Callithrix jacchus: one gene and its partner. The protein of the gene in region 1 purifies or fractionates together with the protein of each later gene. This does not show direct contact. Links are inferred from orthologs where the notes say so. Each region holds a gene or a part of one and is shown on either strand. Other genes may lie near its edges.

What was found.
Region 2: the proteins of MRPS27 (region 1) and NOA1 purify together in Homo sapiens (co-immunoprecipitation; 3 studies listed by BioGRID and IntAct, counting the BioPlex papers as one, with this or other methods). This does not show direct contact. The link is inferred for Callithrix jacchus from reciprocal best matches to the Homo sapiens genes MRPS27 and NOA1.

What each region holds. Positions count from the first base shown.
Region 1 is NC_133503.1:138,937,007-138,940,568, forward strand, and holds part of MRPS27 (small ribosomal subunit protein mS27), read left to right. Parts: intron 1-100; coding exon 101-340; 3' UTR 341-3,562. UniProt on the Homo sapiens protein: RNA-binding component of the mitochondrial small ribosomal subunit (mt-SSU) that plays a role in mitochondrial protein synthesis. Stimulates mitochondrial mRNA translation of subunit components of the mitochondrial electron transport chain.
Region 2 is NC_133504.1:139,818,770-139,823,269, forward strand, and holds the start of NOA1 (nitric oxide-associated protein 1), read left to right. Parts: upstream 1-1,391; 5' UTR 1,392-1,417; coding exon 1,418-2,537; intron 2,538-4,500. Other genes in the region: POLR2B (DNA-directed RNA polymerase II subunit RPB2), read right to left, coding at 10-28. UniProt on the Homo sapiens protein: Involved in regulation of mitochondrial protein translation and respiration. Plays a role in mitochondria-mediated cell death. May act as a scaffolding protein or stabilizer of respiratory chain supercomplexes. Binds GTP.

The DNA of each region.
Region 1 (3,562 bases):
AAAACATGTAGATATTTTGCAGGTGGCTTCATCTTTCCTCTTTGTACCCTCCTCTCACTTCTCTACCTTTCTCTTCTTTTTTCCCCTTTGTTTCCAACAGGCCTTACATTCGAAGCTTCAGGCTCTGGGCAAAATTGAGTCAGAAAGTCTTTTAAGTGTGACCACGCAGCTTGTGAAGGAAAAACTCTCCACCTGTGAAGCAGAGGACATCGCCACCTATGAGCAGCAACTGCAGCGGTGGCATCTAGACCGTGTACACTTGATCCAGAGAGAGCAAGAACAGAGGGAGAAAGCAAAACAGGAGTTCCAGGCTCGGAAAGCAGCAAAGGCATCTGCCTAAGAGGGTCCCCCAGGGCCCAACCCCTCCCACAGAACTTCACTCGACCCCATGCCAGGACTCAGCAGTGGCCTGCACAGCAGCCTCAGCTTCCTCTACCCACCTTCTCCTTTTCTTAAAGCAGGCTATGTGCTCTACATGGCAAGGCACCATGACTCCCCACTGAGATGCCAAGAAGGGTACTGTGGAATGAGGCAGGTGGCTCGTGGTCAGACTGAAGTCACCGACCAAATACTTTTAGGAGGGCTCTTGAGGTTCATGATGGAGTTCCTGGGGCACAGGGATTAGTTTTGAGCATTAAAGTTCCTAAGACCCAGTGAAGGTACTGGGAGAAACCAAGGCTAAAGAGTCAGGTCTAAAGCACAGGCTTTTGTTTTTGGGGTTTTTGTTTTTTGAGACGGAGTCTTGCTCTGTCACTCAGGCTAGAGTGCCGTGGTGCAATCTCGGCTTACTGCAGCCTTCGACTCCCGGGTTAAAGCAATTCTCCTGCCTCAGCCTCCTGAGTAGGTGGGATTACAGGTGTGTGCCACCACAGCCAGCTAATTTTTTTATTTTTAGCAGAGATGGAGTTTCACCATGGTCTCAAACTCCTGACCTCAAGTGATCTGCCTGCCTCGGCCTCCCAAAGTGCTGGGATTACAAGCGTGAGCCACTGTACCCAGCCAAACACAGGCTGTTGAATAGTCTCCCTCTCCCCAGCCCAGGCACATGAGGCCAAGGTGAACTGTGCATCCTGAGACCTTGTGTCCCTGGAGTCTTCTTTCTGCCACATCTCGCCCTTCTGGACCTGCACTGGGGAAATTCAGGACAGGAGTGAACTCAAGGCCATGAACCAAGTGGATTTCAATTTTTAGGCCCCCACAGGGACATTTTTAGGATGTAAGAGTTTGAGCAGAGAGTCGGCTCTAGCATGAAGCCTTTTTAGCTTGCCTTTGCCATCGTGTTGGGGTAACTTTTTTTTCCCAACTTATTTTTTCCAAAACATTGTCTCAACTCCTTTATCAACTAGGTAAAAATGAGCCTTTTGTGTACACACAGGCACATGTGCACACATACAGCTTGTGAACACACATTTCTGTTAAAGAAGTTAGAAAGTGAGAGATGGAACTTGAAGTGCATAGAAGGTATGAATATTGTAAAACTGTCAGGAGACGGAAAATGCCTTTTTGAGGTTTCTTCTGTGAAAGGGTTCAGGGCAGATTTTGCTTACTGCGTAGCGTTGCTTTTAGGTATAGTGGTATAATTTTATTCAAGATTGTGCCCTTTGATGAAAAACCTCTGGAAATAAATGTTCTGGGATTATGTTGGTGGATTCTTTATCTTTAGGGGAAGGGAGGAAGGAGAGAGGGACTCATCAGTATTGTTACTAAGATTTTGAGGAGTATGTTTTCAACCCTCCTCCATTAGACTGTGGGATTTATTATAATAATGGTAGCTACCACCACTAATATTTATTAAGGTCTTAACTGTAGGCCAAAAACCCAAGCAGCCCTATGAGGGAGGTAGCAGTGTCCCTATTTTATATAACTAAGCAACTCTCCTGCTGCTCATCTCACTGCCTGTGGCCTCTGTGTAGAGCTGCAGTCAGGAGCCAACACAGGGCCCTTTAGGCAGCAAAGCTGCAGAGTCTTAGGCAGAGGGCTGTGACCAAAAGTCAGTACCGACGTTTTGGTTTACCAACGGGGGCTTTTTCAGCCACTCCCTCATGACATTCAAGACAAATCAAAAGGCAACTTTTGCTCAGTAATGACTGTCACAACATGAAATATCTGGTTAAGGCTTTGGCTCATCATTTTGCCTTCATTTTTCCTCCCCCTCCAGCCCCAACGTTTACTCCCAGACTTTACCAAAAGAGACCTCTTCTGCACTGTACTGTGGTCACACAGGAATTCCCATGTTTCCTGCTCCTTAGGATTCCTTCCACACTTGTGCCCCATTTCTGAGGACTCTTAGAGTCTTTCCCCTCCAAATCTTCTGCCCTTTCCCCGTGTCCTTATCTCCTGAGCTATAGGATATTATCTCACCTTTCTTCACAACTAGCACTTCCCAATACAGTTGTCCTTTGTCCCCTTCCCTCACGTCATCTTCCATATTCTTCCATGCGGCCTCTGCAGCTGACCTGCTGTAGTCACAGGCAAACCTCCAGCCTCATGTCATGAATCCAAGATCTTAGACCCTGAAGTCCCCACTCTCTCGATCTTGTCTCGTACCATGACTGCTGCTGAACCAGCTTGCCCTGTAACTTCCTTCCTGTTAACCCTTTACCCTATCCCTCCAACTCTTGATCTCCAGAATTTGCTTCTCCCAGTGTAGGCCCCATGGTCAGTCACTCCCCTGATGTTCTCATTAGCAGCTTCATTTTCTCTCACTCCCTTTATCCACGCTCACTTATCAGCCTTGGACCTACACCCTTGCACCCATCTGCTACAGGTAGAACTGTGTTTCCTAAAAAAGGTAAATTGTATCCCTAATCCCCAGTCCCTTAGAATCTGACCTTAGTTGGAAATAAGTTCTTTTATTGAGGTAATCAAATTTAAAATGAGATCATCAGGGTCAGTCTGATTTAACTTGGTGGTTTTTTTTTTTTAAAAGGGAAGTTTGCACACACAGACACAGAGGGAAGGAAGATGAGCCTGTGACTCTACAGGCCAAGGTATGCCAAGGCTTGCCAGCAAACACCGGAAGTTAGAAGTGGTAAGGACGATTCTCCCCTAGAGCCGTCAGAGAAGGCTTGGTCCTGCAGACACCATCATTTCTGAGTTCTTGCCTTCAGAACTGTTATTTTAAGCCAAACTTTTTTGGTAGTTTGCTATCTCGGCCCTAGGAAACTGATAACACCACCATTCATTTTCTGTTTGATTCTGACTTACTAAGTGTTGATATATAAAGTCATAATATTTGGCTGATTAGATTCTTCTACAGAATTAAGGCTGTTCTCTTCAACTCAGTAGTCCTTCCTTTAATTGACTTTTATTTTTACTTCCATAGCTTTTATATTCTACATTAGCTTGAAGCCCTGCCCTCAGAACTACAAGCAGATGTTCTCTCCATCATCCTTCCTACTTTCAAATAATAGGTATCCCCACCTCCTTTCCAAGACTCTTCATTTGTGACCTTAGCCCATACCTGCCCACCTGTTCTACACCCTTGTAGCATCTCTGTTGATTTCTTCTTCTAAGTCTACAGTCTTATTCAAGACCTTATTCAAGGCTTTTTAACAACAAA
Region 2 (4,500 bases), on another chromosome or scaffold:
TTCACCTACCCTCATCCGCGTCGTACATACTGCCAAAAGATTCCCGAGTTCCTAACTCTAGAAACCGAAAAGACAAAAGAGCGCACAGAAGCCACCAGCGTCTGGAGCTATAGACGAATTAACTTCCGTCTCCAGCGTTCCCAGAATACTATGCGTCTCACACGAAGGCCGCCCACAAGGACGCCAAAGTTAGGATCTGCGCCTGCGCAAAGTGTAGGGCGCGCTGGGGCGGGCATTAGAGTTGCCTACGCGCAAATTGTGTGCCGCCGCTGTTGGTGGCTGATTGAAAAGACAGCTCTCGCAATCTGCGGTCGGATCCGTCCCGTGAATGTTTTATTTCTGCTTGTTTTTTAATGTTGTTGCACAAATAACGACAGCTGAAAACAAAACCAAGTATAGTTATTAATAAAAAGTGTTCGTTCTGTGAATCCGCGACATTGGGATGTTAAATTTATTTGCCTTTTTAAGGACCAAAACAACACGAAGCTATGTTTTATTTTTATTTATTTAATTTTTGAAACGGAGTCTCGTTCTGTTGCCCAGACTGGAGTGCAGTGGAGTGATCTTCGCTCACTGCAACTTCTGCCTCCCAGGTTCAAGCGATTCTCCTGTCTCTGCCTCCCAGGTAGCTGGGATTACAGGCGCGCGCCACCATGCCCAGCTAATTTTTGTATTTTTAGTAGAGACGGGGCTTTCACCATGTTGGCCGGGCTGGTCTCGAACTGCTGACCTGAGGTGATCCACCCGCCTCGGCCTCTCCAAGTGCTGACAGACGTGAGCCACGCGCCCGGCCGGAAGCTCGTTTTTAAATGTGATTTATTAAGGGCTGCTTGTGATAGCAGTGAGGCGTTAAAGATGGTGGAAAGTGAAAAACCGGCCGGGCGCGGTGGCTCACGCCTATAATCCCTGCACTTTGGGAGGCCGAGGCGGGTGGATCACGAGGTCAAGAGATCGAGACCATCCTGGTCAACAAGGTGAAACCCTGTCTCTACTAAAAATACAAAAATTAGCTGGGCATGGTGGTGCGCACCTGTAGTCCCAGCTACTCGGGAGGCTGAGGCAATAGAATTGCTTGAACCCAGACGGCAGACGTTGCGGTGAGCCGAGATCGTGCCATTGCACTCCAGTCTGGGTAACAACAGCGAAACTCCGTCTCAAAAAAAAAAGAAAGTGAAAAACCCAAAGCACACGCAGATCTCTTCCGCCCACCTAGCTTAACCCTCCGGTGCCTTTGCGGCAGCTTTAACTAGGTTCTCAGTCTCAGCGCTTTAATCGCGAGAACACACGGGATTAGACAGGAGAAGAACCAAGACACCTCCCAAGTACCCACGCGCTTTAGTCTCGGGTCTCGCGCGCCTCGGGGCCTAGTGAGCGCGCGAGCTTGTGGCTCCGCCCCTTCGCCTGGAGCTACTTCCTCATGCTGCCTGCGCGCCTAACGTTCAGGCTCTTGAGCCCTTTCCTGCGTGGATCCGTTCCCACGGCCGCGCTCCATGGCCTCCCGGAGCCGTTCCTGGGGAGGAGGTGCCCTGCCGCCTCCTCCTTCCGGAGCTCATCGAGCCTGGGACGCGAGATTCCTCATGACCCGGTGAACACGAAGGACTTCGAAGAAAGTGCTGACATGCAGGAGCATTTTCTCTTCCCAGAGTACCTCCTCGAGCCGGAGCCGGAACCTACCCCCAAAGAGCAGCTGCGGGAGCTCCAGCAGCAGCAGGAGGAGGAGGAACAACAGAGGCAGCAGCGGCAAGAGGAGCGGCGACAGCAAAACCTACGGGCCAGGTACCGGGAGCCCCGGGTCCTGGGGCACCCGGACCCGGCAGTGCAGCCCAGCGGCGTGAACTGCTCGGGCTGCGGGGCAGAGCTGCACTGCCAGGACCCCGGCATGCCCGGCTACCTGCCTCACGAGAAGTTTCTCCGCGCGGCGGAGGCAGGCGGCGGGCTGACGCGGACCGTGTGTCAGCGCTGCTGGCTGCTAGTGCACCACCGGCGCGCTCTGCACCTGCAGGTGAGCCGTGGCCAGTACCTGGAGCTGGTGAGCGCGGCTCTGCGGCGGCCGGGGCCCTCCCTAGTGCTCTACATGGTGGACCTGCTCGACCTGCCCGACGCCCTGCTGCCGGACTTGCCCGCGCTGGTGGGATCCAAGCAGCTGATCGTGCTGGGAAACAAAGTGGACCTCCTGCCCCAGGATACTACTGGCTACAGGAACAGGCTGCGGGAGCGACTCTGGGACGACTGTGCCCGCGCTGGACTGCTGCTGGCCCCTGGCCACCGAGGGCCACAGGACCGGGAGAATTCGAATCCGTCAGACTGGTCCCGCACTGTGGTCAGGGACGTGCGGCTGATCAGCGCCAAGACCGGCTATGGAGTGGAAGAGTTGATCTCTGCCCTTCAGAGCTCCTGGCGATACCGTGGGGACGTCTACTTGGTGGGCGCCACCAACGCTGGCAAATCCACTCTCTTTAACACACTCCTGGAGTCCGATTACTGCACCGCCAAGGGCGCCGAGGCCATCGACAGGGCCACCATCTCCCCTTGGCCAGGTGAGTCTTAGGAGGCTCGCCCTCTTCGTTTTCTGACAAGGTGGACGTCTGGTCCTGGCGGAGGCACCGAGTACATCCTCCCTTAATGTCCACTACGCTGCCTGAACCCTTCCCTTTACAAATTCCCTCCCCACTCTGGTCACACCTCTCTTCTGTGTCAGCTTATTGCTAGGAAAAATTGAGGATGTGTTGTAGTAATTTTCTAACGGAAGTGATTATGGAGCACTTCTCTGTTCCCAGTCACTAGGCGCTGGAGATACACCAGGGAACAAAGCAAGGAAATGGAAAGTTCCTGTTCGGGAGATTTGCTTTGTAACTACTTTGTATGTTGTTCTAGAAAGTGTGTGTTCTTTTTACTTTCTGAACCTCTCTCCACCCCTCAATCTTACTGTTCACATGTTGGGTTTATTCTTATGAAACCAGTGTACTATACACATACAACATGTGAGTAATTCGTTAATGACATTTGTGATTTTGGTTTTTGAGACGGAGTCTCTGTCGCCCAGGCTGGAGTGCAGTGGCGTGATCTCAGCTCACTGCAACCTCCACCTCCTGGGTTCAAGTGATTCTCCTGCCTCAGCCTCCCAAGTAGCTAGGATTACAGGCATGCACCACCACACCCGGCTAATTTTTGTATTTTTAGTAGAGACAGGGTTTCACCATGTTGGTCAGGCCGGTCTTAAACTCCCAACCTCGTGATTACCCCCCCACCTCGGCCTCCCAAAGTGTTGGAATTACAGGTGTGAGCCACCACACCCAGCCTAATTTTCGTATTTTTAGTAGAAATGGGGTTTCGCCACATTGCCCAGGCTGATCTAGAACTCCTGACCTCAGGTGATCTGCCTGCCTTGGCCTCCCAAAGTGCTGGAATTACAGGCAGGCACCACCATGCCCAGCTAATTTTTGTATCTTTAGTAGAGACCGGGTTTCACCATGTTGGCTAGGTGGGTGTCCAACTCCTAACCTCAAGTGATTTGCCCACCTTGTCCTCCCAAAGTACTAGGATTACGGGTGTGAGCCATGACATCCAGCCCATTAGTGCAATTTGATGTGTGGCTTCCCCAGGCTCAGTGTCTCAGATCTGTAATTCTAGTACCTTGGGAGGCCAAGGCAGGCAGATTGCTTGAGCTCAGGAGTTCAAGACCAGCCTGGGCAACGTGGTAAAACCCTGTCTCTACTAAAAATGCAAAAATTAGCCAGGCTTCGTGACGCATGCCTGTAGTTCCAGCTACTCAGGAAGCTGAGATAGGAGAATCACCTAAGCCCAGAAAGTCAAGGCGGCAGTAAGCCCTAATTGGGCCACCTCACTCCAGTCCTGCCTTGACAACAGAGTGAGACCCCAGAAAACGGAAGTATCAGCCTTGTGACTTTAAGAAACTTCTGTGGCCAGGTGCAGTGACTCACACCTGTAATCCCAGCACTTTGGGAGGCCGAGGTGGTCAGATCACCTGAGGTCAGGAGTTCAAGACCAGCTTAGCCAACATGGCGAAATCCTTGTCTCTACTAAAAATACAAAAATTTACCAGGTGTGATAGTTGGTGCCTGTAATCCCAGCTACTCAGGAGGCTGAGACTGGAGAATCACTTGAACCTGGGAGGCTGAGCCGAGATCGCACCATTGCACTCCAGCCTGGGAAACAACAAGACTGTCTCAAAAACAAGAAAGAAAGAAAGAAAGAGAAAATTCTGTAATCTGTAATTGGAAAACGAGTCCTTCTATGGTTTAAATTTTTTGTTTTTGTTTTTGTTTTTTGAGACCGAGTCTCACTCTTGTCGCCCAGGCTGGAGTGCAGTGGCGTGATCTCTGCTCATGGCAACTCCCACCTCGCAGGTTCAAGCCATTCTCCCCAAGTAGCTGGGACTACAAGGGCACACCACCACACCTGGCTAGTTTTTTGTATTTTTAGTAGAGACAGGGTTTCACCATGCTAGCGAGGATGGTCTTGAACTCCTGACCTCAATTA